4 linked regions of the Macaca fascicularis genome follow. The protein of the gene in region 1 interacts with the protein of each later gene in a biochemical or structural test. Links are inferred from orthologs where the notes say so. Each region holds a gene or a part of one and is shown in the gene's direction. Other genes may lie near its edges.

Evidence for each region.
Region 2: the proteins of TJP2 (region 1) and CTNNA1 form a complex in vitro, tested with the Homo sapiens proteins (2 studies listed by BioGRID and IntAct, with this or other methods). The link is inferred for Macaca fascicularis from reciprocal best matches to the Homo sapiens genes TJP2 and CTNNA1.
Region 3: the proteins of TJP2 (region 1) and CGN form a complex in vitro, tested with the Homo sapiens proteins (2 studies listed by BioGRID and IntAct, with this or other methods). The link is inferred for Macaca fascicularis from reciprocal best matches to the Homo sapiens genes TJP2 and CGN.
Region 4: the proteins of TJP2 (region 1) and OCLN form a complex in vitro, tested with the Homo sapiens proteins (3 studies listed by BioGRID). The link is inferred for Macaca fascicularis from reciprocal best matches to the Homo sapiens genes TJP2 and OCLN.

Annotation. Positions count from the first base shown.
Region 1 is NC_088389.1:99,939,387-99,947,709, forward strand, and holds the start of TJP2 (tight junction protein 2), read left to right. Parts: upstream 1-3,525; 5' UTR 3,526-3,532; coding exon 3,533-3,604; intron 3,605-8,323. UniProt on the Homo sapiens protein: Plays a role in tight junctions and adherens junctions. Acts as a positive regulator of RANKL-induced osteoclast differentiation, potentially via mediating downstream transcriptional activity.
Region 2 is NC_088380.1:145,423,322-145,430,980, forward strand, and holds part of CTNNA1 (catenin alpha-1), read left to right. Parts: intron 1-1,434; coding exon 1,435-1,635; intron 1,636-2,198; coding exon 2,199-2,350; intron 2,351-5,997; exon of another isoform or gene 5,998-6,162; coding exon 6,163-6,273; exon of another isoform or gene 6,274-7,202; intron 7,203-7,362; coding exon 7,363-7,544; intron 7,545-7,659. UniProt on the Homo sapiens protein: Associates with the cytoplasmic domain of a variety of cadherins. The association of catenins to cadherins produces a complex which is linked to the actin filament network, and which seems to be of primary importance for cadherins cell-adhesion properties.
Region 3 is NC_088375.1:109,675,700-109,683,358, reverse strand, and holds part of CGN (cingulin), read left to right. Parts: intron 1-1,036; coding exon 1,037-1,246; intron 1,247-1,573; coding exon 1,574-1,780; intron 1,781-2,148; coding exon 2,149-2,406; intron 2,407-4,003; coding exon 4,004-4,174; intron 4,175-5,576; coding exon 5,577-5,738; intron 5,739-6,623; coding exon 6,624-6,713; intron 6,714-7,184; coding exon 7,185-7,268; intron 7,269-7,364; coding exon 7,365-7,483; intron 7,484-7,659. UniProt on the Homo sapiens protein: Probably plays a role in the formation and regulation of the tight junction (TJ) paracellular permeability barrier.
Region 4 is NC_088380.1:75,172,870-75,181,012, forward strand, and holds the start of OCLN (occludin), read left to right. Parts: upstream 1-3,272; 5' UTR 3,273-3,346; intron 3,347-3,485; exon of another isoform or gene 3,486-3,596; intron 3,597-5,541; exon of another isoform or gene 5,542-5,652; intron 5,653-8,143. UniProt on the Homo sapiens protein: May play a role in the formation and regulation of the tight junction (TJ) paracellular permeability barrier.

The DNA of each region.
Region 1 (8,323 bases):
TTTTCACTATAGCCAAGAGGTGAAAGTAACCCAAGTGTCTGTTGACAGATGAATGGATAAATAAAATAAGTCATATACATACAATGGAATATTATTCAGCCTTAAAAAGGGAGGAACTTCTGACATACACCAGCGCCTAGACGAACCTTGAGGACATTATGCCATGTGAAGTAAGCCAATCACAGGAAGACAAATCCTGTGTGAGTCCACTTATATGATGTGTCTGTTGTAGTCAAATTTGTAGAATCACAAAACAGAATGGTGGTTGTCAGGAGCTGTGGGGAGAGGGAAATGGGGAGTTGTTTGATAGGCAAGAGTTTTGGTTTTGCAAGATGAAGAGTTCTTAAGTTCAGTATATTCTGAAGTGTGAATATACTACTGTCCTAGTCAATTCCTACTCCTGTAACTGGGAAATTTAAAAAAACCCAGAAATTTATTTGCCCACAGTTTTGGCTGGGAAGTTTAATAAGATCAAGGCAACAGCAGATTTGGCATCTGGTGAGGGCAGCTCTCTGCTTCCAAGATGGCAGTTGCTGTATCCTCACATGACAGAAGAGGTAGAAGAGCAAGGGGGTCTAGCTAGGTCCCTCTAGCCCTTTTGTAAGAGCATGAATCCCATTCATGAGGTTGGAGCCCTCTTAATCACTTCCTAAAAGCCCCACCCCTTAACACTATCGCATTGGGTCTTAGGTTCCAGCATGTGAGTTTTGGTGAGACACATAAATTGAAACCTTAGCAACTGCTACACTGTATACCCTTGAAAAGTGAGAGGTTAGGAGTGCCGACCCTCACACAGTCAAAAATCCATGTATAACTTTTGACTCCCTAAAAACTAAACCAATAACCTGCTGTTTACCAGAAACCTTACCATAACATAAACAATTAACACATTTTATATGCTATATGTATTATATACTGTTTTCTCACAATAAAGTAAGCTAGGGAAGGAAAATACATTTATTACACTAAGTGGAAGTGGATCATCCTAAAGGACTTCATCCTGATTGTCTCCATGTTGAGTAGGCTGAGGAAGAGGAGGGTTTGGTCCTGCTGTGCCCTGGCGGAAGAGGTGGAGGAGGTGAAGGGGAGGCAGGGGAGGCAGGCACACTCTGTATAGCTTTTACTGAAAAAAACCCATGGATAAGTGAACCAGGGCAGTTCAAACCTTGCTGTTCAAACCTAACTGTACTTAGAAATGGTTAAGATAATAAATTTTAGGTTATATATTTTTCAGCACAATTAAAAATAAAAAAGATTTAGTGTTGCTAGAAACTATGACCTCTGGAGATCACTGTAGAAGAATCTGGAATTCTTAAATTCTAGGACATCTCTGACTTCTGGGTAATATGCGTGAACTTAAGGGAAAGAAGTATTTATTTCTGCATCAGGGTAAGCTCAGGTGTTTTCCTTAGGACTGTCAGAGTGAAGGAGTGAGCTGGCCTGAACCCTCCCCGAATTGCCTGGGTTGTCAGGCTCCTCTGCACGTGGGGCCTAGTGAGCCAGTCCATAGGCTGAACCTGGCTGGTATGTACAGAGCCTGCACATGTCTGCACAGCCTAGGTTAAGGTTTGGACACTTGCTTAGATTCCAAGGTCCTCCTTTGTACCCACTGCCCTCTTCGCTTGTAGGATTTATTATTATTATTATTATTATTTTTGAGGCAGAGTTTCGCTCTTGTCACCTAGGCTGGAGTGCAGTGGTGGGATCTTGGCTCACTGCAGGGTTCAAGCGATTCTCCTGCCTCAGTCTCCAGAGTAGCTGGGATTACAGGCACCTGCCAATATGCCTGGATTTTTTTTTTTTTTTTTTTTTTTTTTGCATTTTTAGTAGAGACGAGGTTTCAACATGTTGGCCAGACTGGTCTTGAATTCCTGACCTCAGGTGATCCTCCCACCTCAGCCTCCCAGAATGCTGGGATTATAGGCATGAGCCACTGCACCAGCCTGGATATATATATATATTTTTGAGACAGGGTCTCGTTCTGTGGCCCAGGCTGGAATGCAGCAGCCCGATCTCAGGTCACTGCAACCTCCGCCTCCTGGGCTCAGGTGATCCTCCTACCTCAGCCTCCCAAGTAGCTGGGACTGCAGGTGTGCACCACCATGCCCAGCTAATTTTTCTGTTTTTAGTAGAGATGGGGTTTCACCATGTTGGCCAGGCTGCTCTCGAACTTCTGGGCTCAGGCGATCTGCGCATCTCGACCTCCCAGAGTGCTAGGATTACAGGCATGAGCAACTGTACCTGGCAAAGTGTAGGATTTGAAACAAACTTTTATTCACTTTTGATCTCATTTAACTGTCATAACACTTACTAAGAACTCAACTGAGAACTTACTGTCATAGACCCTTAGGAAAGGACACACACATTTCCCAGTGCCTGTCCAGCACCAGCACGAGTGCTTTGTGGAGATTGCCTTGTTTCTTGCTGACATTGCCCTTCTGAGGTGTAGATGGTTTTATCGCCACTGTATAAAGAAGGGTATAGTATATCCAGTGCCCCACAGCTAAGTGACAGGACAAGGATCTCACTCCAGATCTTGTGACTTTAAAAATCACTTCCTTGGCTCTGCTTCGCCTTGTTTCCTAGATGGTGGCCATCTCATGGTCCAGATTTATATACATCTCAGCCTCAAATCAGATGGCACATTTGCCATTTGCAAGCTATTTGACTCAACCCATTGGCATATAACATACACCATGGTAGCAAGAATTGGCCAGAGGCTCCCCAAGACCAGGCTTCTGAAATCCCAACCCCAGCTCCCAAGCCCCAAGCATCCCATAAAATCTTTGCTAGATGTTCAGAAACCTAAAATTTGCTTCTCCACCCCTCCCTTCTCCCCAGGTGGTAAAGACAAAGAAACAGATGGCAGGGTTCTTTGTTATTCTTTTATCTGCTAAGTTTCCAAAAAGGTTAGATAGTGGAACTTTGCTGAGCAAGCCTTCTGTCCCTGAGTTGTCCCTGAGCAGCACCAAATGATCGAGTCTTATCTCCCCCTTGTTATCTCCAAGGATATAAAATGTTTTCTTTTCATGCCTTTTAATTTCTATGTAACATTAGCCATTCAGTTGACCTGAAACATTGCTAGTTTATTTCTGGCTGGCTTGTGTGTGTGTGTGTATCAGAGGGTCTATACTGTATACATAAATACTTCTCTAACTATTCTTTTCCATAGTGTTGCTCTAAAATGTCTCATTTACTTAATACTGTCAACTTAGATGGTGAATCATTTTATGTGCCTAAAAGAAATATCTACTCGGATGCTCTAGTTCCCTGGCAAGGGAGAGAGAGGGAGAAGAAAAAAGCTGTGAAAGTGGTGCAAATCCGAACTGCTTTCTTTTTTGCTCATAAGTAGTGCTTTTCAAAGCGTTTGGCATCCCTGCCGTATGGATGTGTCACTGTGTGAGATGACAACAGGATTTGCTGGAAATGTGGGCCACTATTGTATCCGCCTTACGTAACCACGTGGAGTGATGGAAATGGGTGAGCAGCCCGGGATGTAGGCGGTGGCCTGGCCCATGCATCTCCAGAGACCATGAAGACTGCTCAAGCCCTGCGTAGGATGTGGATCCAGGCTGTTAAAAAGTTGGGGAGATGGAAAGGCCGTGTGAGTCCCTCTGCAAGCTCTCCCCTTGTTTTCCCCAACCTTTCTTCATGGGAAGGGGAGGGAAGCAAAACCATTCTCTCAGTAACTCCTTTATCCTCAGATGTGTTTGTGCTTCTGGCATCTTTCAGCAACAAATTGTGAGATTGTAGGTTGTAGCTAGTCACTGGTGGTTTTTTAAAAAAAATACTTGTATTGATTTTAGCACATCTGTGTGAAACTTATAGCCTCTTACTGGATCTGTGGATCAAAGGCTGCTGTTGTCCATGTGCTCGGAATCTGTAATGGTTTTGCTTCCTGGGTAGAGCTTAACATACTGGCTTTTGTGTTTGTTCATGTATGAGAATTTCTTGTTTTGGCATAAAACTTTTTGCTTTCTTATGTTGCAGAAATCTATATTCTTACTATGTCTAGGCTTCTAACTTAGAAGAAGAAAAAGTGTTTTTCACATGTTCTTTTTTTCCTTGTGGTTTGAACATGTGTGAGTGTTTACTTTTATGACTTGAGACTTACGAAGCGTGTCTCTTATGTGGACAGCTTTCAATTAATCTTTGGTTTTAGCTTTGACCTCCATCACTGGGCAGCAGCAGTCCATGGATATAGAATCTAAAAGCCGCCTGCTCAGGGGGACTTTGGGCAGTGAACACTTCGGTATCTGTTTTAGGGTTGGCTTTTAACACGTTTCTACATTTTTTATGTAAAATATATAGGATTTTAACCTGTCTGGCCAAGATTTTTCAAAGGAAAAAAGCTTTATAAAAAGTAGATTAAAAAAAGCACAACAAATAACTATTTGCCTTAGTTCCTTTCTCTTATTTTGTCACACAAAAACCTTACTGTTAATGCATTAAGTTTTTTGTTTATGGTAGAAGAGTTAGCTTACTTTTAACTTTCCATGAGGTCTAAGAAGCCTGTTATGATATAAAGGGGGTTGTCATGAACACTACTTACATGAAAAGTAAAAGTGATAAGGAAAGATGATGAAAGCACATTGAAGATCCTCCTGATGGATAGAATGTTGACACTTGGATTAAGAAGGCGATTTAGCGTTTTCTGCGTGCACCTCCCCCCACAGCTCCCCAGACCTAACACCTGTGTCCCCACCCTGCCCACCGCACCTGCCTTGCTTCACCCCCCTTGCCCCTTTCAAATTACTGGTACCATCCCTCAACTTGCTCTCCTTCCAGTTGAAATTATTGTACCCTCTTCACTTTGCAAAATTCTAACTGCATTGAAAAATTTGCTGTTAAGTATACCTGTACCTCTTGGATACCTAGATCCTTCACCAGGAGTGAGTATTCACTTTGATGTTCACCCACTCATCTCCCTATTTTTTATTTATTTATTTATTTTATTTATTTATTTTTTGAGACGGAGTCTCGCTCTGTTGCCCAGGCTGGAGTGCAGTGGTGCGATCTCGGCTCACTGCAAGCTCAGCCTCCCAGGTTCACGCCATTCTCCTGCCTCAGCCTCCCGAGTAGCTGGGACTACAGGTGCCCACCACTACGCCCAGCTAATTTTTTGTATTTTTAGTAGAGATGGGGTTTCACTGTGTTAGCCAGTACGGTCCCGGTCTCCTGACCTTGTGATCCACCTATCTCGGCCTCCCAAAGTGCTGGGATTACAGGCATGAGCCACTGCGCCTGGCCCGGCCTCATCTCCCTATTCTTTTAAACTTATGAAATGTTTGGTACTCTAAAAGAATTAAATATCTAAATCATGAAGCATAATAAACAAATGCCATGAGCCCATTACACATATCTGCAGACCGTTACCAAAACAAAACACAAGGGAAATTTGTGTACCTCCCACCACACTCTGCCTCCTGCCCAGGTCACCTCATCCTGAATGTTATGTTTTTCATTTCCTTGCTTTTTCTTTATATTTTCACTGCATGGGTGCGTACGCGCGCACACACATACACATACACACAAACACACACCCCTAAATAATAGATTAATTTTGTTGGCAATTTTTTTCTGTAGCGAAAATGCATAACAAAATTTACTGTCTTTACCATTTGTAAATGTACAGTTCAGTAGTGTAAAGTTATTCAAGTTGTAAAACATTGTTTTTTGAGCTGTATAAAAATGGTATCATACTCTACAAATCCTTCTGGGGTGTTTTTCACTCAACTTTATGTTTGAGATGCATCCCTTTTGTGGTGGTCTGTGTGACTGGTTTGTCTGTCTTCATTGCAATATAACATTGTATTTTAATAATGTATCAATTTGTCCATCCTGCCCTTGAGAGATACTGGGATATTTTCCAGGTTTTGGCCGTTGGGAACATTGCTGCTGTGAATATACATGTGTCCTTGTGCATATAGTCACACAGTTTTCTGGGGGCCTCTGCCTGGGTAGAGGAATGACTGGGTCGTGGAATGTGCATGCCTTTAATTCTGATGTATGTGTGCTGTCTCTATGGGCCTGCCTGTAAAGCTCCCCCTCGTGCTAAGCAGCTACCTGCTGTCATTCAGAGAAACGTCAGTTATTGCTAGCAAGTCTGATCTGCGCATAGCCAAGCACAAGTTGGGCGGGACCAGAGCCCGGTGGCCTAGTTTGAATGTCATGACCACAGCTCCCAGCTAAGCTGCTGCACCCTGGCAGCCTGTGCCCAGGGATGTTCCCAGAGCTGATGTTCTGAGGAATAAGGATGATTATGTGGGGTGCTCTATGTTTCTGAAAAATTATATAAATGAGGCAGGAAAGACACTCAGTAGTTTGCTCTTTGGTAAACTGCCCAAGGGCTTTGGCGGTTTTATTCGCTGATGTGCCTGAAGTGCCACAAACCATGTGCTCGGCAGAAAGTGGATGCTTAATCAGTGTTTTTGCATAAATGAACAAATGAATGAATAATGAAGAGTTTTCTGTGAGACTTTCCCAAAAAGTCACAGTTCTGTAGGCTAAATATACATAGTTATGGTGTATTTTTAATGCTCAACAGAGCTGCAAAAATTTACTTTTACTCTAGTTCCCTACCTTTACAATTAAGATTTTCTGTTTATCACTTGGCTTAGCAGAGCATATGTTCTTTGAATATTACATTAAGTAGCTAATGGTTAATTTTACTACCTGTTGACCGTAGGTAAGAAGAAGCCTCGCGATCTGATTGGTTTCAGGCACCAGGCAAGTTAATAGCAAGGTCTGATTGGTGGTGGTGGTGGTAGGAGATTAATCCTCTCTGACAAATTTAATTTAAATTACCCTTGCAGGCAGCGCAGGAACACTTAAAGATACTGTCATCCTGTTGTTGAAGGGCTGTGAATTTCAAAAGCCAGATTCATTCTACTTGAGCCACATTTAAAAAATAAAATTTTGCAGGAACTCATTTATTTGGCTAAATGATAAATTTAAATCCAAAACTTTGAAGAGTTTGTAGTTTTAAATTCTAAAATAGAAAAGTATTTTTAAAAGTAATGTACTCATAAAAATATTCTCTGTAATAGCACAGCTCCTTGGGATATTGAGCTTTTTTTTTTGGTATGTAGCATTGCCCAATCCTGGGGATGATTGTCATAGTCCCAGTTAGGTTTTTTCCTGATAATTTTAAAGTAAGTTTTGTGGGGAGGGTGCTATGTGATTTTTTTTCCCTTTAATTCATGTGGCTATGACTATATCCAAAGAAGAGTTGGCAAATATATTTATTTTACCACAACTTCTAGATTAGTTCACTTTGTTGAAAGTTGACAGCTTTAAGGTATAAGAAGGCATTGAGAAGATGAGCTTGGAGAAGTGGGCATGCTCATGAGGTCATTTCTGGGTGGTAGTGGCTTGGTTTTACTAAGGCCACATCTAAAACTGAAGTTGGTAAGGAGTTAGTAAGGTGTTCTATGGAAATGGAAAAGGGCAACCAATTCCGATTTACTGCAGGAGTTCAGTTGAGTGTCTGCTTTCTTTTTCCCTCCCTCCCTCCCTCCTTCCCCCCTTCCCTCCCTCCCTCCCTCCCTCCCTCCCTCCCTCCTTCCCTCCTTCCCTCCTTCCCTCCTTCCCTCCTTCCCTCCTTCCCTCCTTCCTTCCTTCCTTCCTTCCTTCCTTCCTTCCTTTCGAGACAGAGTCTCACTCTGGAGTGCAGTGGTGCAATCTCAGCTCATTGCAACCTCCACCTCCTAGGTTCAAGTGATTTTCTTGCTTCAGCCTCCCACGCAGCTGGGACTACAGATGTGCACCACCACACCCAGCTAATTTTTTTTTGTCTTTAGTAGAGACAGGTTTTCACCATGTTGGCCAGGCTGGTCTTGAACTTCTGGCCCCAAGTGAACCACCTGCCTTGGCCTCCCAAAGTGTTGGGATTACAGGCATGAACCACCATGCCCGACTGGGTTTCTGCTTTCTGTTTCCGTTTAAGAAAACTTTTTGGCCAGGCACGGTGGCTCACACCTGTAATCCCAGCACTTTGGGAGGCCGAGGCAGGCAGATCATCTAAGGTTGGGGGTTCGAGACCAGCCTGACCAACATGGTGAAACCCTGTCTCTACTAAAAATGCAAAAATTACCTGGGTGTGGTGGTACATGCCTGTAATCCCAGCTACTCGGGAGACAGGCAGGAGAATCGCTAGAACCCAGGAAGTGGAGGTTGGGGTGAGCCCAGTTCGTGCCATTGCACTCCAGCCTGGGCAACAAGAGTGAAATGCCATCTCAAAAAAAAAAAAAAAAAAAAAATTTAACAAATATGTACAACTTCATTAAAATCTTGGAAAAAATTTTTTTTATACATATTGGAA
Region 2 (7,659 bases), on another chromosome or scaffold:
TGAAACAGGGATGAGTCTTAAAATCAATGATATGAGAAAATATTGGTTCTTAGTTTTGTTATCAACACACTTTCCATTTTATTCCTTTCTTTTCCTTAGCAATGCAAGTTTCATCTTAATGGTATCGTGTTAGATCCAGTAAAAGCAACAATTTTTAACCCAAGACCTTGTATGGTCGGCCTGCTCAGTACATTTTTTAGTTTGAATTATTAGAGTTTATATACTTCAGAAATGCTTGTGATGGGCTCCAAATCCGTTTATTCTTGTAATTGGTTTAAATGTCCCTCTTAAAATGTGTTTATGTTAGAAGTTTAATATGTTTACTCTTTCATTAGTTCATTGGTATAAACCCTGGCAAGTCTCATAATCTGTAATTAATAGAGATCAAAATATGGTCTTAACTATATTGCAGTAATCTAGTTTTCCCTTCTCTAATAAGAATTCTTACTATTTCCTGGCCTTCTCTGGAAAGGTATTTTTTGTTTGTTTTGGTTTTTGTTTTTGAGACGGAGTCTCACTCTGTTGCCCAGGCTGGAGTGCAGCGGCGTAATCTCGGCTTACTGCAACCTCTGCCTCCTGGGTTCAAGCCATCCTCCTGCCTCAGCCTCCAGATATGCACTTTAATGGCTGCATAGTTCCCATAATTCACTTATCCACTCTTCTCTTGGTTTGCTTCCACGTTGTTATTATAGATGAGTTTGAGCAAACTCTTTGTGGTGGGGTTCCTAAAAATGTATAGTGTCAGGCTTTTTCCTTTGAGGAAAAATAGTTGTGGTGTTTTGCCCAAATTCAGCTGTGTGACTGTTAGGAGCCACCCATCAGCTTCATAGGAGTCAGGGGTTTTCACCTCTAGGGACCCTTCAAATATCACAATAAGCCCATCTGTGTACCATGAAGAGGGTTATTAAATAGTTCATCTCATGCCTCAGGCTCCTCTAGAGGAGGCTTCAACCTGCTTTCCAGCACCTTCTCCTATCCCTGGGCTGTACTGGCTTCTTGGTAGATTGTCTGAATATCATCAGCATCTCCTGGAGGGAGAGGGAGAGCGGACAGTGGACTTTTGTTCTAATTTAGCCTTTCCTTTATTTGGGACACAGGGTCAGTGAAGCTAGAGGAAGAGAAGTTATTGATGCTTCTGTGATTTTCTGCCAGGCTTACAGAACAACTGTGTCTCAAAGATGGGCATGTCTCCTGTTTTTTGTTTTATTTTGTTTTATTTTTAAAGCCTGGAATGAAGATTGTTATTCTTGAGGGTGATAACAGGTTTAGTTTCTGTCTCTGTCACTAGTCACTGGTCTCTCCAATGAAATATATGTAAAGCTTTCAGCACTGTGGCTGGCACCAAGCAAACAATAAATGATAGATGCCAGCTTACAGTTGCCACCTTCTCATAGAAGGCCTCCTTCCTCATTCAGCTTTTTGCTTGTTCTCCAGAGAATCACATTTTGGAAGATGTGAACAAATGTGTCATTGCTCTCCAGGAGAAGGATGTGGATGGCCTGGACCGCACAGCTGGTGCAATTCGAGGCCGGGCAGCCCGGGTCATTCACGTAGTCACCTCAGAGATGGACAACTATGAGCCTGGAGTCTACACAGAGAAGGTTCTGGAAGCCACTAAGCTTCTCTCCAACACAGGTACGGGAACTCTAGCTTTTCAGTGCTCGCACACACTGCAACCTGAGTAGGGCAGGCCACCCGATTAGCCCAGCCCTGTGGTGAGGAAGGAGGAGTCGGGAACTCAGATTTGGTCTCATGGCACATTGGGCTCCTGAGAAGTTGGTCATAGCCAAATTCAGGCCTCACAAGCATATTTTCTTCATGTGTATCTCATGAGTAATCATGGGACTAATTCTAAACACACTATTTAAGATGAATTTCTGAGTTTAACCTCAGGTTAAACTATTAACCTGAGGTCCTATTCTTAAGCAAGGCTTCAAGTTAGTCTCACTTCCAAGTTCTCAACCATCCAATCCCTCAACCATCCAATCCCTCTGTTGCAGAGAAAAAGATGATTTGAGTTGTTGAGTTGTTGTAAAATACTGCATTTATTTCAACCATAAATACTCCTCACATAGATAGAAGCAGAGGCTCTTCATCATAAGCCTCACCTCTTTCTGTCTAGCTGAGTGATTCAGGGAGGGTCAGGGGAATGATGCTGCCTGCATACCAGGACATCTGCTGTGCCCCTTTCTCCACAGTCATGCCACGTTTTACTGAGCAAGTAGAGGCGGCCGTGGAAGCCCTCAGCTCGGACCCTGCCCAGCCAATGGATGAGAATGAGTTTATCGATGCCTCCCGCCTGGTATATGATGGTATCCGGGACATCAGGAAAGCAGTGCTGATGATAAGGGTGAGTAACTGCATTTCAGACTTAACAGCTTCTTTCTTATCATTTGCTAAACTTGAGCAATGCGTCATTCTAGAACTCGGCAGATGCGGTAGCAGTATATTAAAACCATGAATCTAAAATCTGTTAGAATGAGATATATTTAATTATGTTGTCTAAAATGACTGTTAGTTGCAAGTTAGAGCCCAAACTTGGGCCAAGAAGAGGAGCTAGCCTGAGTTGACGATTTAATTTAGGATAAACAGTCTCTACAACATGAGGCTTCAGTTTGAGTTAGGCAGGAAATTATAGAAAATAATGGTTCTCAAGCTAGTATCAGAGAAGGAAGTCTTTTCGTAATGCAGATTCAAGTTACTGTTCACATGGAGTGCCCCTCTCTTCGGAGAGGCTGCAGGCAGACAGGATGATGGAACCCCAGGGTGTTGCGGGGAGAAGTGGCCCCAGGTGATGCTCCTAGGCTCATGGCCAAGTGCTGAACCCCTTTCCCCATAGCCAGAATGCCTGGAGGGCCTGTAGCAAGGGCAGAGGAGAAACGGGCCTCTGCGGCATCTGTGGTTGAGCTCCCGGCTTACCGTCCTGCTCTCTGACACTATTCCTGTCTTCATTCAAGAATTATCCTTCCAGCCCCTGGGCATCTCAGTTTCTTGATGTCTTGTCCTCCTCCACCTCAGCCTCGTGGCCATAGCCGTACCTCAGCTTTTGTCACTGCCTGCCATTGTCTTTGTCATTCCCAGCAGCCCGGTTCTATTGTTGAGGTTGCGCCCTTGAGTCCTGCAACTCCCAGCGAGCCTTTTGAGTCCACTGTGGGGTCTTCAGTCAGTTGGTCCTCCCTGTTTGACACTCACTCAGCCCCTTGTGTCCTTGGTTCAGTCTTTTTTCAGCTTTGAGTCCATAGTTGAATATTCTCACTCCTCTGCCCAGCTGTTTCCTTACACTTGCCTTGCAAGGTGCAGTCTTAGCAAGATCCTGCTCTCCTGAGCACAGTGCAGATGGCCACAGCCACGCCGACGGAGCCGCAGAAGCCGCGGCCATTTGTGGGCCCTTGCTGCCCTGCAACAGGTGCCCGTCCACCCACCCACACCTGTGCCCCTGTGCTATTTGGCCCTCTTGCCGATTTCATTGAGGATACTGAGGCAGTTAGTACGGCCACCCCGCTGCATCCATGCCTGTGTGCTCTGCCTTCCTCCTAGGACTATGGGCATTGCTGTTGGTGCTTCTGGCTGAGGCCGTCCCTTGCATGTCCTTGTACTGGGGTCCCAGCTTCTTCACCCCCTGCCTTCTGTACCTTTCCCCAAGCCTATGATGATTTCTCCCATTTTTAAGGGGGAAAAAATCTCTTGACCCACACCCCTACTCAGTCTCCTTGGCTGGTTTCTCCCCATCTCCTCAGCCTGTGAAACATGGGTGTGGCCTGCTGGGAAGTCCTTGGCCTCTTCAGAGTCCTGTCTAGAGGCCGACTCTCCTAAGTTCCACACTTGCCTGTGCACCTTGCCTCCTCCCTCTCACTTGCTCCACCCAGGCAGCACATGTTGATAGTGACTCCGTCTTCCCTTGCTCATGCGCAGACCTCGGATCTTTTATTTCCCTTTTGTCCCATACCCCACATCCGCTTTATCTGTGAATTCTTTTGGCTCTCCCTTCACAGTAGAGAACCTGAACATGTTCTCACCCTCGTCCAAGCCGCCAGCACCTCTCACCCGGGTTCATGCAGGTGCCACTCAGCTGGTTCCCCGTTCCAATCCTGGGTGCCTACAGTCTCATGAGCCACAGGGCAGCCAGAGCGATTTCTCTAAGCTTCAGTCAGATCATGCTATCCTCTGTGCCATCCTCTCTACAGGCAGCCACGTCATTCTTTATGCTGGCCTACAAGGCTTTCTAGGACTAGAACCTGTCACTTCTCCAACCTCATCTCCTGCTGATCTCCCCTTGTGCTCATGGGGTTCCAGGCAAGCCGGTGACATAGGGGCAGTGAGCTAAGCCCCCCTTCTGTGGCCTCCTTGCTATTCACGCAGTTCCCTGGGCCAACGCCCCTTCCCCACAGCCTCAATGCTGCCGCCCGCCCCGCCTACCCCTCGAGAGCACCTTCTCATCAGACTTTTCCTAACACCCGCATGGAGTTAAAACCTCGCTTTATTCCTCTCTGCTTTCTTTATACACTGGCCACTTTTGATGTGTCATATAATTCATTTGCTTACTTTGTTGCCATTTCTTCCATTAGAATAGGCATGAGAGGAATTTTTATCTGTCTGTCACTTTGTATCTCTAGGGCCCAGAATGCTTGGCAGAGAGAGAATGAATGAATGAATGAATGAATGAGAGTACTCGGTTTTCTTGGCAAGAACGGTTCTTGGGTCTGCGATGGGGTCCTGGGAAGGCAGAGATGATGTTAGGAGGTGGTCCTTTGAAAAGCCCCTTAACTGATTGCATGCCAGTCCCGAAGGCATGTGTGACTGCAGTGTTAAAACCGTCAGTGCTGGCATTGTGTTTTGTGTCACCAAGTCCGTCGGCCTCCAGGACCTCACGCGGACATGCTGTCTGGTGCCACCTGAGTGAGCATCCACTCCTTACCTCATCAAGGGACAGGCCCAGCCTTTGCGCAGCACGCTCTTGGTGGCTCCGGAATGTTTCTTGCATATCTTCTTGTTTGAACCTCACAGCAAGTCCTTGGGCTGCGCTTGGACTAGATCCTGGTACAGATGAGGGACTCGCCTCACTGCCCTCCTGTCACAGGCCAGCCGGCTGGGCCGAGCGCCAACCCCAGCTGTTCTGCCTGCTGCCCCCTTACTGATAACTGCCAGAGGACAACATTATGTTTCAAGTCAGTAGCTAATCATGAGAGGCTGGTAGTTGGTACAAAATAAGAATTTTATTTCATAATTAAAGCAAAGAGCTAGGACGAGTAATCAGTCCCTTGGGTATTTACTCAGCCCTTACCTGTCATATTCTCCCTTCTTTTCTTTTGATGAAAGTCAAAAGAATACTTTAAAATTGCCTATTTTTACTCCTCCAAGCAGCCTTGGTACCCTAACAGAAGGCTCAGTTATTTAATTTTCTTTTTGTCATAAAGTAGGAAAGTTAAACAAATCTGCTTAATACTATACAAAACACCTCTATTTTTAAGTCAGTACCTTTTCTATCCAGGACAGTTCTCATCTTTGTCTTTAAAATACAGGTGTTGGGGAAGTAAATTAGGAAGTAAAAACCTTATGTCGCCGGGCACGGTGGTTCACGCCTGTAATCCCACCCAGCATTTTGGGAGCCCAAGGCAGGGGTGGATCACCTGAGGTCAGAAGTTCAAGAGCAGCCTGGCCAGCATGGTGGAATCCCGTCTCTACTAAAAATACAAAAATTAGCCGGACGTGGTGGCGTGTTGCCTCTAATCCCAGCCACTCGGAGGCTGAGGCAGGTGAATCACTTGAACCCGGGAGATGGAGGTTGCATTGATTCCAAGATCACGCCACTGCACTCCAGCCTGGGTGACAGAGCGAGACTCTGTCTCAAAGGAAAAAAAACAACCTTATGTCTTATAAAGAAATAGTGAATTGACTCAGTGATAGCCATTGAGCCCCACACACAGTGAAGCCAGCGCAGGCCTGCTGTGGGCCAGGCAGCCCAGCGCGTGCAGCAGTGAAGCAGAGGCTCGAGACAAATGCTGAGTGATTGTGACTTTATTCATCATACTGTTCAGAACACTGCACATTAAAATCCAGAATTCTGGGCCTCCGTGCACCTGGCCAAGAGGCTCAGGGTGGCTGGGGGCTGGTGGCCTGTGACCCAGAGATGTGTCTGACTTGTGATCTCTGTCTTGGTGGCAGACCCCTGAGGAGTTGGATGACTCTGACTTTGAGACAGAAGATTTCGATGTCAGAAGTAGGACAAGCGTCCAGACAGAAGACGATCAGCTGATAGCTGGCCAGAGTGCCCGGGTAAGGAAGCGCTCTGTGGGGCAGTTCAGCTTGTGCTGCCACCTTCCCTGTCCCCTTTCTTGTTTCCAGGAAAACACCCTCAGTATTCAGAACACCATTTCTCTCTCTCTGGCAGTAGACTGAAGTTAAACTAAGTTGTGGCACCTGCTAGTCACTTGTAGCCTCCTCAGCTAGAGACAGACCAGGTCCTGGGCCTCCTCTGCAGTGCCCTGGGGCTTTGGTTTACGATAGAGCCCTGGGTCAGGAAAGGGCTGAAATTTAGTCAATGCAGTGTTTGTTGAAAGGATCGTGAAATTTGAAAAAGATTGCTGCCTTTAGCCATCTCAGTGATGCCATGGGTATGAACTATTTAATTATTCATGGGTTTAAAAAAATAACAGTGGTACATTCAAGAAAGCCAGTCAGAGCCATTGCATTCATTTGAGTCATTAAATCTTCAATCAATAGCATTTATGTTTTGGGGAGGATGCCAAGAAATATTTCTAAGGAGTCTTTGATTTCACTCCTTGGAAATCTGTCATGAACAGCGAGCACATCGCTGCCTTATGTCCTGCTCCGTCATGAGCACTTTGGGAAGCTGAGAGGGAGGAGCTTCAGCCGCAGGTCTGTGGGCTGGAGGTGGGCAGCAGGCCTCCAGGTGCTGCTCGAGTATGGCCTTAGTGCTCAGCCCTCTTTCTTCAGGTGTACATTCTGAAGCCACTTTCAGTTCACCTTGAATAGCTGGAAATGTCCACCAGGGAAAGGGTTCCACACTTTCATCAACCCTTTCTCTCATTTCTTGTCTTATATTAAAGAATTAAAAAGCAGGTTCTGTCCCTGCACAGTTGTGATTCCAAAGCTTCCGCATTAGCCTTCCACCCCTCGCTGTTTGCTTCCACACTAAAACTTGTGCTCGAAAGTGGGTCGGAAATTCAGGCTGCTGTAAGTGTCTGCAAAAAATGAGAGAAATAGCCCTTTAGGCAAAATGAAATCTGTTAAAGCATTATCCTACCTATGCCATAGATTGCCTGTTGGAAATATTCTTGGCTAATGCACTCTGAGAACTTCATATTCTTTTTATGTAAGAGCTCTTTGTGCTTCTGATCACAGGCGATCATGGCTCAGCTTCCCCAGGAGCAAAAAGCGAAGATTGCGGAACAGGTGGCCAGCTTCCAGGAAGAAAAGAGCAAGCTGGATGCTGAAGTGTCCAAATGGGATGACAGTGGCAATGACATCATTGTGCTGGCCAAGCAGATGTGCATGATTATGATGGAGATGACTGACTTCACCCGGTGAGCAGCACCCTGGCCCCACCAGGCTGCACAGGGGCCACTTTCTTTAGGTCACCTGCACAGCGGCTTAGACAGCCCAGGCCATGGGGCTTTGTGGACATCTGTTTTCTACTCA
Region 3 (7,659 bases), on another chromosome or scaffold:
GCTAGTTTTTGTATTTTTAGTAGAGACAGGGTTTTGCCATGTTGGCCAGGCTGGTTATGAACTCCTGACCTCAGGTGATCCACCTGCCTCGGCCTCCCAAACTGCTGGGATTACAGGCATGAGCCACTGGTGCCTGGCACCCAGTGGTTTTTATTATATTAACAAAGTTGTACAACCATCATCCCCCCAACCAATGGCAACCACTAATCTACTTTTTGACTCTGGATTTACCTATTCTGGATATTTCATATAATTGAATCCTATAATATATGGACTTAAGTGTCTGGCTTCTTTCACCTAGCATAGTGTTTTCGAGGTTTGTCCATGTGGTAGCAAGTATGAGTACTTCATTCCTTTTTTTTTTTTTTTTTTTTGAGATGGAGTCTCACTCTGTTGCCCAGGCTGGAGTGCAGTGGTGCGATCTCCGCTCACTGCAAGCTCTGCTGCCTCCCAGGTTCACACCATTCTCCTGCCTTAGCCTCCCTAGAAGCTGGGACTACAGGCGCCCGCCACCATGCCTGGCTAATTTTTTTGTATTTTCAGTAGAGACGGGGTTTCACCGTGTTCGCCAGGATGGTCTCAGTCATGACCTCATGATCCACCCGCCTCGGCCTTCCAAAGTGTTGGGATTACAGGCGTGAGCCACTGCGCCTGGCCAAGTACTTTATTCCTTTTTTATGGCTGAATAATATTCCACTCTGTGGGTGTACCATGTTTAGTCCAGTCATCAATTCATGGACATCTGGGTTGTTTATACATTTGGGCTATAATGAATAATGCTACTATGAACATTCACGTATGTATAAGTTTTTGTGTGAACACACATTTTCAGTTTTCTTGGGTTACCTAAGAGTGGAATTGCTGGTGATATAAGTGGTAAATCTGTGTTTAACTTTTTGAGAAACTGCCGAACTACTTTCTGAAGTGGCCACATCATTTTTCATTCCCCCTGGCAGTGTGTGAGAGTTTCAGCTTCTCCACATTCAGGTATCTTAGTCTGGCTCTAGGTGCCCCATCACCTCCCCTTTCCTTCCAGGAGCTGCTCCAGACACAGGAGGAGCTTAAGGAACTGCAGGCAGAACGGCAGAGCCAGGAGGTGGCTGGGCGACACCGGGACCGGGAGTTGGAGAAGCAGCTGGCAGTCCTGAGGGTTGAGGCTGATCGAGGTCGGGAGCTGGAAGAACAGAACCTCCAGCTACAAAAGACCCTCCAGCAACTGCGACAGGACTGTGAAGAGGCTTCCAAGGCAAGGGGAGTGGGCACAGGGCTTAGGAGGTGGAGGCTGAGGGTGTCTGGAGGGCTGAGGAGCCAGAGGGTGTGGAAAGTTACCTGTCATGGGTATGTACTGACCAGTTCCTGGGTCCTAGGTGTGTGGTTCAAAGAAGCCAGGATTTGGCAGGGGGAGGACACCTGTATCTCTGTAGGGGTGGGATTTTCAGGGAAGCGTCTGGCTGGTGGCAGCTCCTTTCTTTAAGCCTCATTCTTATGGGCGGTCTTTGGGACGGCTTTCCTGGGTTTGGTCAATGGCCCCAAGCACTGGGGTCTGAGCTGCCACCCCCTAAACCGTCCTTAGGCTAAGATGGTGGCCGAGGCAGAGGCAGCAGTGCTGGGGCAGCGGCGGGCCGCGGTGGAGACAACGCTTCGGGAGACCCAGGAGGAAAATGACGAATTCCGCCGGCGCATCCTGGGTTTGGAGCAGCAGCTGAAGGAGACTCGAGGTCTGGTGGATGGTGGGGAAGCGGTGGAGGCACGACTACGGGACAAGCTGCAGCGGCTGGAGGTCAGTGCTTCTGCCCTCCCAGCCCTCTCTGCTCAACCCTGGTGAAATACTCCTATGCTAAACAGCCATCAGTTTCACTTTGTTCTTAGTGTGCATCTGTTTCGCCTCCCCAAACCCTCTGTTAACCTTGGGTCTATTTCCTGGAGTATACTTTGGCGCCAGTGTTCCAGTCTTTGCACTGGTATTTTTGTCTCTTATCTCTCACCCTTTGCTTGCTGTATGCATCCTGATTTCTTTGCTAGGAGCCTGTTTTCATTGCGCACCATTTGCATAAATACCTCCTTTCTCCCGTCCAGCTACCCACCTCCAAATAACTTGAACCCAAGTTTTGCCTTTTTTCAGTCCAACCCTGCTTCCCTACCTCCCAGGCAGAGAAACAGCAACTGGAGGAGGCCCTGAATGCGTCCCAGGAAGAGGAAGGGAGTCTGGCAGCAGCCAAGCGGGCACTGGAGGCACGCCTCGAGGAGGCTCAGCGGGGGCTGGCCCGCCTGGGGCAAGAGCAGCAGACACTGAACCGGGCCCTGGAGGAGGAAGGGAAGCAGCGGGAGGTGCTCCGGCGAGGCAAGGCTGAGCTGGAGGAGCAGAAGCGTTTGCTGGATAGGACTGTGGACCGACTGAACAAGGAGGTGGGGCATGGGGTATTCTGGGCCTTTAGGAAGAGGCCTAGCTCATCCAGAAGCTGGCCTGAGGGGACAGGGGGTTAGGGGAGAGGGGTTAGTCAGAATGTGTGATGTTTATGGCCAGGTGCGGTGACTCACGCCTGTAATTCCAGCTCTTTGAGAGGCTGAGGTAGGCAGATACCTGAGGTCAGGAGTTTGAGACCAGCCTGGCCAACACAGCAAAACTCTGTCTCTAATAAAAATATAAAAAATTAGCCAGGCGTGGTGGCTCGTGCCTGTAGTCCCAGCTACTCAGGAGGCTGATGCAGGAGAATCACTTCAGCCTGGAAGGCGGAGGTTGCAGTGAGCTAAGATCATACCACTGCACTCCAGCCTGGGTGACAGAGCAACACTCTGTCTTAAGAACAACAAAAAAGAATGTGTGATGTTTGCTTTCCTCAAGTACATTGTTAGGAAGACCAAGACCAAATCTTCTGGAAGGGGCATCCTTCCTACCTCCCCTCCATGTTTTTGCTCTTTCCCTCACATCCCATTCCTTTATGGTCTTCATTCTTGGAGAGCATCTCCTGGGATTCTCCCTTAGGAGTCTACAAAACCTATATACAAGAATTGTCATTGGCCAGCTTGGGCAATATAGTAAGACTCTGTCTCTACTTAAAAAAAAAAAAAGAAATTAGCCAGGTGTGGTGGCTTGTGCCTCAGTTTCTCTATAGGTGAGGAACTGAGACCCAGAGAAGATAAGTAACTTGCCTATGGTTGCTAATTAGTGGTAGAGCCAGGATTTGAACCCAGACATCTGTATTCCCAGCTACTCGGGAGGCTGAGGTAGAAGGATTACTTCAGCTCAGGAGGTTGAGGCTGCAGTGAGCTGTAGCCTGCAATATAGCAGGCTATAACTGCCCCACTGCAATATAGCAAGAGCCTGTCAAACAAAAAAAATCTTCATTGGTAGAATTTTAAATTTTGGTGAGGGGAAGAAGAAAAGAAAGAAAAAAGAAAAGGAAATAAATTGCTTTTGCTGCTAAGGTTCTCCTCCCAATCTTTTTGTAAAACAAGAACAAACAAGTAATATATTACATCAATTCTAAAGTGCGCATTTTATCATTTGTCAATAAAAAATGCACATTTTATCATTTCTGAAATAGAGTTGTGTCTTATAACTTATGGTATGTTATAGTTCAATTGGCAGATTTTTCTTAGTTGTACGTCTTATAATCATTGGCACCTTGGGTTTGCTGAAATGGTCATTTAAGGCTTACTTTGTATCAGGCACTGTTGTAAGTACAGAACTTCACATAATTAACTAACGTAATTCTCACAACACCTTGTGATATAGCTACTATTCTTATCCCATTTTACAGTTGGGGAACGGAAACCCAGAGAGATAAGTAACTTACATATGGTCACTAGTAAGTGGTAGAGCCAGGATTTGAACCCAGACATCTGTATATAACTATTAGCTATACTAGGAACCTAGGTCCAGGAAAGAACAAGAGAAGGCTACCTTGTCAGGAAGGAGACCCTTGGGGGAGAGTCTTGGGAGTCTGGGCCTGGAGAGGGACATTTATATACAGTGCTGAAGACCCTTTTCTCTGTGTTTCAGTTGGAGAAGATCGGGGAGGACTCTAAGCAAGCCCTGCAGCAGCTCCAGGCCCAGCTGGAGGATTATAAGGAAAAGGCCCGGCGGGAGGTGGCAGATGCCCAGCGCCAGGCCAAGGATTGGGCGAGTGAGGCTGAGAAGACCTCTGGGGGACTGAGCCGGCTTCAGGATGAGGTAGAAGCCTAATATCCTTGGGTTTGAAGGTCCTTGCTTCTTTTTTTTTTTTTTTTTTTTTTGAGACGGAGTCTCGTTCTGTCGCCCAGGCTGGAGTGCCGTGGCGCAATCTCAGCTCACTGCAAGCTCCGACTCCTGGGTTCACGCCATTCTCCTGCCTCAGCCTCCTGAGTAGCTGGGACTACAGGTGCCCGCCACCACACCTGGCTACTTTTTTGTATTTTTAGTAGAGACAGGGTTTCACTGTGTTAGCCAGGATGGTTTCGATCTCCTGACCTCGTGATCTGCCTGCCTTGGCCTCCCACAGGGCTGGGATTACAGGCGTGAGCCACTGTGCCCGGCCCCATCCTTGCCTCTTAACTGAACCTGTGACCAAGGGTCCCTGGGGCCCAGGTTTAGGTCTAATGACTTGCAGCATGGAGGAATATATTGTCTGTAGAGCAGTGATTTTCAAATTCTGTGGCTTAGAGCCACCTGGGGAGATTTTTAAAAATCTCCACACCCAAGCTGTATTCCATACCACTTCAGTCATCATCTCTGGGGATGGGATCCAGGATCAGTATTTTAAAAAACTCCTCAGGTGATTCCAAGTTGTGTAGAGACTTTAAAAACAATAAAGAAGCTGGGGATGGTGGCTCACGCCTGTAATCCCAGCACTTTGGGAGGCTGAGGTGGGCAGATCATGAGATCAGGTGTTCGAGACCAGCCTGGCCAACACAGTGAAACCCCATCTCTACTAAAAATACAAAAATTAGCCGAGCGTAGTGGGCGCCTGTAATCCCAGCGACTCAGGAGGCTGAGGCAGGAGAATTGCTTGAACCTGGGAGGTGGAGGTTGCAGTGAGCCGAGATCGTGCCATTGCACTCCAGCCTGGGCGACAGAGTGAGATTTCATGTCTCAAAAAAAAAACAAAAACAGAAACAATAAAGAAAATGAATGAGGGCAGGTGCAGTGGCTCACGCCTGTAATCCCAGCACTTTGGGAGGCTGAGGCAGGCGGATCACAAGGTCAGGAGATCAAGACCTTCTTGGCTAACACAGTAAAACCCTGTCTCTACTAAAAATACAAAACATTAGCCAAGCGTGGTGGCGCATGCCTGTAGTACCAGCTACTCGGGAGGCTGAGGCAGGATAATCACTTGAACCTGGGAGGTGGAGATTGCAGTAAGCCGAGATCGCGCCACTGTACTCCAGCCTGGGTGACAGAATGAGACTCCATCTAAAAAATGAAAAAGAAAAGAAAATGGATGAAAAGTCAGTCTGCTTTTTATTGTCACCATGCCACTGGTAATTCTAAAGAGTGACAGTGATGAAATGTTTCTGCCCACTGGGCTGGACTGCTCCTGCCCTTCAACCTTCACCTTTTTACTACACTGAGCTGTGGCATTTTTACCCTTGCTTAGATCCAGAGGCTGCGGCAGGCCCTGCAGGCATCCCAGGCTGAGCGGGACACAGCCCGGCTGGACAAAGAGCTACTGGCCCAGCGATTGCAGGGGCTGGAGCAAGAGGCAGAGAACAAGAAGCGCTCCCAGGACGACAGGGCCCGGCAGCTGAAGGGCCTCGAGGTGAGGGCACTGGGGTGTGACCTGTGGAAAAGGGGTGGGACTTCCAAGCCTCTTTCTGTACTAGCGGTCAAAACCGACAGCCCACAGTTGATGAGTTTTGTTCGGCTGCAGTATTTTAAACAACTTTGAATCAATTGCCAATGTTTAGAAATTTATAGATGTCACCTAAACATTTGGATTTCTAGTTTCTTTTGTATTTGGCAGATACGGTAATACTTAGTGTCTTGTCCTGAGTCTGCATGGCAACAGTTGGCTGGAGCTGAGCAGTGGGTTTCCCCTTTAGAGTGAACAGTATTCTTCAGTTTGCTATATTTGATAATAATAACAGCAGCAGCAAACATATTGTGCTGTGTGATAGGCAGTTAAGACTTAATCCTCAGAATAACTCTGGGGTAGGTAGTCTTGTTTTCTCCATTTTACAGATGAGGGAAACTGAGGCACAGAGCGATGAACTTGTCCATGGTCTAGGAAGCAGTAAATCTGATTTTCAGACTGGACAGTCTGGTCCCATGTATATACTCTTAGCCTCTACATGGTACTGCCTCCAGTGCCTCAGTTTCTGAGTCTCTTCATCTCAGCCTTGGCCCAGGTACTTGGGTTTCTCTCTGTTTCCCCATTAGAGAAATAGGGTTTTCCAATGAAGAGTAGATTTGCCTGTCTGTCAAAGTGACCAGAGCATGGCCCCGACCTGCCCGTGATGCCACATCTGGTCAGCAGAGGGCGCTGGCTCCATGGTGGCTCTGGGCCCCGGCAAGTACCAAAAGGTTACGGGGATGTGCAAGAGAGAAAAGTCTGTTAATGCGGGAGTTTGAGAGGCTCCTGGTCTGAGTTTGGCATTCTGGTGTCCAGCATTTGGGACAGAATTAACTTGTTCTTCCGTCATAGGAAAAAGTCTCACGGCTGGAAGCAGAGTTAGATGAGGAGAAGAACACTGTGGAGCTGCTAACAGACCGGGTGAATCGTGGCCGGGACCAGGTAACCCCCTCCTTATCCCTCATCTCTGTTTACCCCTGACTACATCACCTCTTGGTTCTCTCAAAAACAACTCTGCCCTCCCATCTTTCATCATCTGGCTGCCGAATCTGTGCATGGCTGGGTCTGTTTCAGGGTCTCGTCTGCTTTGGGAAAGGTTGACCAGTTTCCCTGGGTGGAAAGAAGCCAATAATTTGTGTGGAGGAAGGGATCCTGGTGGCCTGGGCTACTCTCTGACCTGAATTGGGGCTTCTTTAGTTTACAAGGGATACTAGTTCCTGGTGGGACGAAGGAGGCCCTGTTTACATTCTCTGGCTCCTCCCATTTGAATATGCTGTGATTTTTTTAGTTGCCTGGGAATTTTTGGATTCAGGGTTCAGAGACCATCCTCCCATGACTCAGCCTCACTTGGTTCAGCTTGCTGGTTCATCCTTAGCCCCCCCCAAGTCTCGTCCTCTCACCCATCCCCACTAGGTAGATCAGCTGAGGACAGAGCTCCTGCAGGAGAGGTCTGCTCGGCAGGACCTGGAGTGTGACAAAATCTCCTTGGAGAGACAGGTGAGTGGGGAGGGGAGGGTTCTTAGGGATGGACCCCAGGAGGTGGGTAAAGTGGCCAGTGGAGTGCTAACTGTGGAGGCTTCCTATCTCTCTCAGAACAAAGACCTGAAGACCCGGTTGGCCAGCTCAGAAGGCTTCCAGAAGCCCAGTGCCAGCCTCTCTCAGCTTGAGTCCCAGAATCAGTTGTTGCAGGAGCGGCTACAGGCTGAAGAGAGGTGCCATAAGCCTATCCTTCCTCCCTCCCTCCCTCCCTCCTTTTCTTCCTCCCTCCTTCTTGGCTTTTCTCTTTTATGGCTCCCTCCATCTTCCACCTCAGATGTGGCCAACCTGGCCTGATCTTTAGGGAACGTTTTCTCCTGGTAGAGAGCAAAGAGAGTTGCAGAAATTCTGA
Region 4 (8,143 bases), on another chromosome or scaffold:
TAGGCAAGGCAGAGTGGAAACCGTGGAACTATTTTAATCTCCCGTCTTTTCCCCTCTAAACCCTAGTACTAGAATGTAAGCCTTGAAATGCTACTAAGGAATGTGCAGGTTTCACAATGGCAGGAGGCCATCTGAGAGGAGGACAAGATTCCACAGGTACGTTGGATTTGGGAAACAGGGCTATAGTCGTTCATTCATTCATCCAACACAAAGTTATAGAATTCCTATTTCAGGCAGATAGGATACAGCAATGGCTTGTTAAATTTATTGAGACTTGTTTCATGGCTCAGCATATAGACTGTCTTGGTGAATGTTCCACATTCCCACCAACAGACTTATAAAGATAGTATTGTTTATTATCATCTCAAATTTACGGTGGAAAAAAATGAGGCTTATGTAGTTTAATTTCCTTTAGTCCTACCCAGCTACCAGGTAGCAACACTGGAATTTCAAATGAAATTTCTGACACCATAATCTGAGCTCTTAAGTTTCTCTTTTACACATAAAAAAGGAGAAAAAAAATTGTTTTTTCATCTTATCATCCATTTGACTGCAGGTAAAGTCAACAAGCTTCTAATCATGGGGTTCTTCTGAGAATAATATTTACATTGCTCTGAGTCATGGGGATTTTCATTAAGTAATATCCAATAGTGGATACTACTCAATACTAATGTGAGTTGCCAAGAAGGAATATTTGGTAACAATATAGTAGTTAAATTTTGCTATAATTTATGATTATGTAAATTTTAGATTAAATTGAGCATGGCATCATTTAACATCCAACAAATTTTGTTTTGGTATTGAAGAATGATGTGTTTAAGTTTTAAGGCTGGATTTTTCTTTCTAGACACTTTCAACTACCAAATATATACAATATTGGGCAATAGTTAACTGTTCTTTTGATGCTGTGTTGTTTAGAAAATTAATCTCAAGCGAATAAAATAGAATTCATATATTTCAACTTAATGAATCCTATTATTCCATATGGATGAACTCAGAACTAACTAGAAAGTAAGTTTCACAGAGATTTTTGAGTTTTGTTCACTCATGTGTACAGAGCACTCAGAAAATAGTTGAAGGAATGAATTGGGAAAGCAAATAAAATATGAAAGCTAACCTTCTACCCAACACAACATGTCTTTGAGTTTAGGTTTAGGGTGGGAATAAGCAAAATAACATGATATGCATAAATTATTATCTTAAAATGATAAAAAGTTTAATTTAAAAACCTAATTTACCAAGAGAACTGAAAACATACATCCACAAAAAAACTTGTACACAAATATTCATAGTAACATTATTCACAGCATCCCCAAAGGAAAAACAACCCAAATGTTCATCAACAGATGAATGATTAAACAAAATGTGATACATCGATACAACGGAATATTATTCAGTTATAAAAAGGAACGAAGTACTGATACATACTACAACATGGATGAACCTTTAAAACATTATGCTAAGTGAAAGAAGACAGACACAAAGGGCACATATTGTATTATCCATTCATATAAAATGTCCAGAACAGGCAAATTAATAGAGACAGAAAGTACATTAGTGGTTGCCGAGGGATGAGGGGAGAGGGGAAATGGAGAGTGACTATTAATGGGCATGGGGTTTCTTTTGGGGGTGATTAAAATGGAATTAGATGGTGGTGATGGTTGTACAATCTGGTGAGTATACTAAAACCCACTGAATTGTACGTGCCCTTTAAAAGGGTGAATTTTATGGTATGTGAACTCTTTTATAAAGTGGAAAAAAACTCCTAAGATCTCCTCTTCAGAACATATCAAAATACATTATAAAATAATGGACATGTGTTTACAAATCTGAGAGTATTAGGAAATGTTCCCTTGTTTAATTATAAACCAAGTGGAATGTTTGGAGATTTCAGTAATCTGACAGGGAACATTAAGAGGATTAACCTGACTTCCCCAGTGTTAACAATACCAATTTAAACTGCATCATTCAAAAACTACATAGTCATATTAAAGCATTTGTGGCAATGACTTCCACGAAAAAAATACCAATTAAATTAATTACTCATTAAAGCTGTCATCATCTGAAATACCTCATATTTACATGGTGCTTTTACTTCCTTAAGTATGAATTGTGCCTTAAGATCTAATGTATGGGAGAGTCACATCTCCAACCATTTAATTAAAGGTAGAGAAGTGGGTGGGATTGGATAGAAATTTATTAGCAATGCTGACATTCCAGATTGGAACGCAAAGACAAGCAGGATTTAAGAAACCTAACAGTTCGCTTTCAATGCAGGTAGTTAAATGCCAAGAACTATAATTACCTCATCCTGGAGTACAATTTAAAAATATGTTCAAAAACAACAAACATACATAAAAACATACACAGTGTTAAGTGCAGACTATGAAATTTCCTTTGGAACCATAATCCAGATCAAGAAATAGAATACAGCACCCAGGACTAAGGTGCTTTTTCGTTTTCTTAAAAAAATAAACAAATAAACCAGGTTTATTTTGCTTTTTAAGTAGGGTTCTTAAAGCACTACAGGTTGGTAAACAAAGTATAAGGTGCTTTTTCTTAGGCCAAAGAGCCATAATAGTTTAAATCTCCCCGTCCCCAAGAGCGGACCAGTTACATTTCGGAACGGGTGGGCAGGGGAGGACCCTGAGGTGGTGATGTGTAAACTGTGTATTATGCACTTTAGCTTGCTGGACGGCAACTAACAGCTACAGTAGTTCACCCTCATTTTATCCCCACTAAGTAACTGTCTTATTTCTGAATCTAGAGATTCAGAAATAGCGCCAATATTTACACACGAGTTTTGAAATTTTCCCAGGAGTCTTTCGTGGGAGCAACACATCTAGATGCCTTTTTCCAGCAACAGTTCAATCAAATTTTGGAAGCAGAAAAGTGTCCCGAGAGGACGTGCCTTTCCTATCAAAGTGCTTAGTGCCTAGACCCTTTCCGGAGGAAACAGTCCCCTCCGGACCTCGTTCGACGTCTCTCCGTCAGACACCCAAGGTTCCATGTGAAGCAGGCGGAGCACCAAACGCACCCCTAGGTGGTCCAGGACCCCCATGCGTGCTGCCCCCTGGGAGCCCGCGCTGCTCCTCTGCGCTCCGCCCCTCCGGCCGGAACATCGCGCGGTTCCTTTAACAGCGCGCTGGCAGGGTGTGGGAAGCAGGGCTGCGTCCTCCCGCCCCCTCCCATCCGAGTTTCAGGTGAATGGGTCACCGAGGGAGGAGGCCAACACACCACACCTACACTCCCGCGCCCACCTCTCCCTCCCTGCTTCCTCCGGCGGAGGCGGCAAGAACCGAGAGCTAGGGCCAGAGCGCCGAGGAGCCCGTCCGGGACGCAGCAGGTGGGTCTCTCGGGGCTGGCCCGCAGGCTTCCCGCACCCCCCTCCACGTTGGTGCGCATGCCCGGGGGCAGGGCCGGTTGTAGGGAGAAGGGGGAGGAGGGGAAGGAGAGAGAGGAGGGGGAGGAGACGTCCCCAGCCCAGTCCCTGGCTGCGCGCTGGCGGTCGGCGCGGCGTCAGGTGCGCCCGCCAGGTGAGCGCGCTCACTGGCTCGGTTGGCCCCCGGAGGGTCGGGCCCAGGTGCGGCCAGTGGGTGAGTGTTGGGCGCGGCGTCAGGGGCGCACGGGAGCCCCCAGGGTCCCCGTGGGGGGACCGCGGCGCCTCTGTTAGGGGAGGTGCGGGGGGGAGGACGCTCCGCGCTGGTTTCGGTGGCAGTTTCGTCCCCGGGCTGGGACTCGTGGGAACCGGAGAGGCGCGGGTCTGCGGAGAGAGCAGCACCGGCCAACTTGGGAGGCTGCCTCCCCGGGCAAGGGGCGGCTTGGAGCCGCCGATCAAGCTTTATTCCGCGGAGACGCTTAAAGCTAGCAGTGCCTCAGCGGCGCGGGCAACTTTTCACTTTTATGAGGCAGGACATTCCTGAACAGCGACGATCCTGCATCAGCTCTGGGGCTGCAGTTTTGGGGGGCGGCCCTCATGGAGAGGGGTCCTGCGCCCAGCTCGTTGGGGGTCCTAAGCTTGAGGCTGCAGCGAGAGACTGCTTGCTGGTCCGAGCCGCTTAGATCCCGGGGGGAATTTCATCCCTTCCGCTCCCACCCCACCCCACTCCTTTGGGTATCCCGGGGAGACGGGGGCTGGATTCAGTCTGAAATATTCCGGGAGTCACGGTGTGGGCCACACTGGCTACTTGGAATCCACTTGTTGGGAGTTGTGTGAACCCGCGCCGATTTAAGCTGGGGTTCACGGAGTTAATTTCGAGGGAAGCTGCTCACGCTTGGGATTCTCACCCGTGACCAAAAGGGCTGCCGCCAGGGGGGCGGAACTGCCTCCGGGCGGTGCCTGCCCAGCGAAAGCGGGCGCGCGCTGCCCGGGAGCACCTCGGGGCGCACGGACGCCGGGACCCGCGCCCAGCCGGGCCACGGAGTTTGGGGACCTCCGGGACTGGGCCGGCCTCGCACGCCAGCCATGTTGCCTGCGTGGAAGGAAGCTTGCGGGGAGCGGGGGTCAAGGGCCAAGATGGCCTCTGCGCCTACGGGTTGGAGGCCACAGGGCCCGAGGGGAAAACCGCGGCATCCTCAGGCCGGACCCGGGGCTTGCTGGCTACACTGCCCGCTTGGGGAATTATCCCGGGCGAGGAGGCGGCAGCTTTCTAGGCCAGTTAGTGTGTGGCCCTTAGGCAACAGGTGTATTATTGGAATACCTGGAAAAGAGAAACGCTTCCCATGAAGGCACTTATGGTGATTTAGAAAACTAGGCATTCCCAAGTGTAACAATAGTTCTTTTGCACTGTACGTATGAGTCTTTCTTTTGTTTTTATTATTATTATTATTATTTGCTTTTTTGAGACGGAGTCCGACTGTGTCTCCCAGTGGCGTGATCTGGGCTCACTGCAACCTCTGCCTCCCGGGTTCAAGTGATTCTCCTGCTCAGCCTTCCGAGTAGCTGGGATTGCAGGCACCCACTAGTATGCACGGCTAATTTTTGTATTTTTAGTAGAGACGGAGTTTTGCCATGTTGGTCAGGCTGATCTCGAACTGCTGACCTCAGGTGATCCACCCGCCTCGGCCTCCCAAAGTGCTGGGATTACAGGCAGGAGCCACCACGCCCAGCCTTTATGAATATTTTCTTAGTGGTGCTTTTTGAGTGTGTGGGGGCGGCACAGATATTTCCTCAAACAAAGCAACACTTTTTTTTTTTTTTGTCGTTTTGCAATATTTAGTTATTAGGGGCCTCCTTTGTTAGGTGATGGAGCGGAGGATAGGGAGGTCGTTAAGACATGATTCTCCACCTTTTGGCAGCTTCCAGGCCATTTCGGGAAATAATGGGCAGTGTCTCCTGCACGTGAGGCACAGTGCTAAAAGCATTCTGTATTTTCTCATTTAATTATCCCAACAACTCTAAAAGGCAGACCTTAGTAGAACTCCGTTTTAAAAGCGGGCATATGCTGTGGGGGAAACGTGTTGCGTGGGCTTGCTTGCAAACTGCTTCAGCTAATCTGGGAAGGAATATCAGAAGCAGCGGTCCTTGATATTCCAGAACCAGATTTGGGGGATATTTCTGGACCTTTGTACCATTGACTAGTACCTGTAGCCTGATACAAGATTTCCCGCATTTTGCTTGATGTCATGGTAAAATTCTTTTTTCTTCTAAAGGTAATGTTGGAATTACTGCCTTTCCAAAATAATAGATTACTTTTAACCACATAAATGATCTGATGTAATATCTTTCACCTTCCCAGGAACGTCCCAGAAGGAAGTTTTCTTCAGTTGCATTTTAAGGCTTATTTGATTGGAATATCAGTGGATCTTTTTCATCAAATTACTATTTATAGAAATAGAGTAAACAGACCATGTAGATTTCTGTTAGGCTTTTCGTTTTAACCCCTAAGCTTGCCGCTGTTCCGTAACCCAGTGATTGCAGTCTTGGCTGTAGTATGAATCACTTAGGGATCTTGTTAAAACACAGATTCTGATTGGGAGGTCAGGAGTGGGACCTGGGATTCTGCCTTTCTAACAGGCTCACAGGTGATTCTCAGACTGTTCTGTCCTCTTTTTCTCCCTTTCTCTTAGACTCTACTCAATTACATTTGAACACTGAAGTTGGAAGTAAAGGAAAAAAAAATAGGTTTATTGGGTGTTGATTGGGTGTTGTGTGAAGAACTTCAAGGCATTCACTGCTGGATTGAAATCCCAACTCTAACAATTGACGTGGTTTTATTAATTGAGTACTCATTGACAATCACTTTGTGCCAGGGCTAGTTTCAGGGACCAGGGATATAAATGATGGTCAAAATAGACATTCGATGCCTGGGATGGAGGCATTCCAGATGGGGTGGAGATAATACCTAAAATAATTTTAGGTATGAGGGCAGAGGGGAGTTTGCTCTGAAAAAACAAGTTTTGTGTGATGGAGTGAGGGACTGGGAGGGCATCTCCCAGAAGGTGGCATCTGAGCTGAGATGTGAACAGCAGGTGTCTGCTGTGTAAAAGATCTGGGCTTTCTAGACAGGAAATTGTAAGATCAATGTCCTTTTTGGATTGACACCATTACTGTAAACAGCAATTCTCAAAATACGTGGTGTGTTAAAAAATCACTTGGAAGGTTTATTAAAAATACAATTTCTGACACAGTCTATTACAAAATCTGCCTAACTTCAAATTTTTAGACAATTTAATGATGTGCCTATAATCTAAATCATTTAATATAAGGCACAACTTAAACTTTTTAAAGACAAACTGACAGTTACTGCTTGTGCCCTAAAAGGAACAGACTTCTCTTAAATATGTTTATTTTTCACTTATTGAAAGTTTTCTTTAAAGAATAATTTGAGGGCAAAGCATTTTCAGTCTATTTTTTTCTACTATATATATATATATATATATATTTTTTTTTTTTTTTTTAAAGATGGAGACGGAGTCTCTGTTGTCCAGCCTGATCTTGAAGTTCTGGGCTCAAACAATCCCTCTGCCTTGACTTCCCAAAGTACTGGGATTACAAGTGTGAGCCACCTCACCCAGCCTCAGCCTGTTTTTTTTCATCTTAGCTTAGTTTTCCATTAAGATAGCTTTTGGTCAGTAAACATTGTCAAGGGGAGAATGCTTTTTATATATTATCATTAGCTCAAGATGCTGGTTTTCAGATTAACATATTTGACAAGGATCTGCTGCTTCCCTTTTGCCCCTGACTCTCATTTAGCTATCTGACTTCTGTCCTTGTCACTCTTGACATAAGTTCATGTAGTTAATAAGTGGTCTCTTCATTCCTCATTTTATTTTTTCCTTCACTCAACACATGTACAGATTGTTAATGTTGCTGTGCTGGGCATTGGTCCTCTTTCACCTTTGGCTGCCGGCCTTAAAGCACAGTCACAGATTCACTTTGAAATTTCAGAGACCTTAGAAGTCCTCCAGTCTGGTCTCCAAAAAAATATCAAATAACTTAAGCTTTGCATAAATTGCATGAGCTCAAATTGTTGTTCGTTATTTTTGGAGGGGGTGTGGGGTCAGGGTGAGGGAGAGGCTTCCTAACATGGTGGTTTTTGGATTTTTTTTTTTTTTTTAACCATTTCTAGGATACAGCTCTTCAGATACCTCAGGGCTACTAAAGTGATTCTTCTAATGTTCAGTTCTCCAGGCCAAACATTTCCTGTTTTTCTAATTGTTTGTCTTAAGACATGGTTTTTCTAGATTTTTTTTTTTGGGGGGGGCCACAGTCTCACTCTGGCTCTCACTCCAGGCTGGAGTACACCGGCACAATCTCAGCTTACTGCAACCTCTGCCTCCTGGGTTCAAGCGATTCTCCTGCCTCAGCCTCCCAAGTAGCTGGGATTATAAGCCCAACTAATTTTCGTATTTTTAGTAGAGACGAGGTTTCACCATGTTGGCCAAGATGGTCTCGATCTCCTGACCTTGTGATCCACCTGCCTTGGCCTCCCAAAGTGCTGGGATTACAGGCGTGAGCCACTGTGCCTGGCCAGCTTTTCTAGATCTTTACCGTTCTTAGTCACCCTCCTGGAGAGGCACGTAGTTTAGAATATGATGTACAAATCAGGTTTTGTTAGTTCTTTTTAATAGCGTATTATTCCTAGATATGAGCACTATTTCTGTGAATAAAGTTTGGGATCGCTTGTTAGCTTTTGTTGAA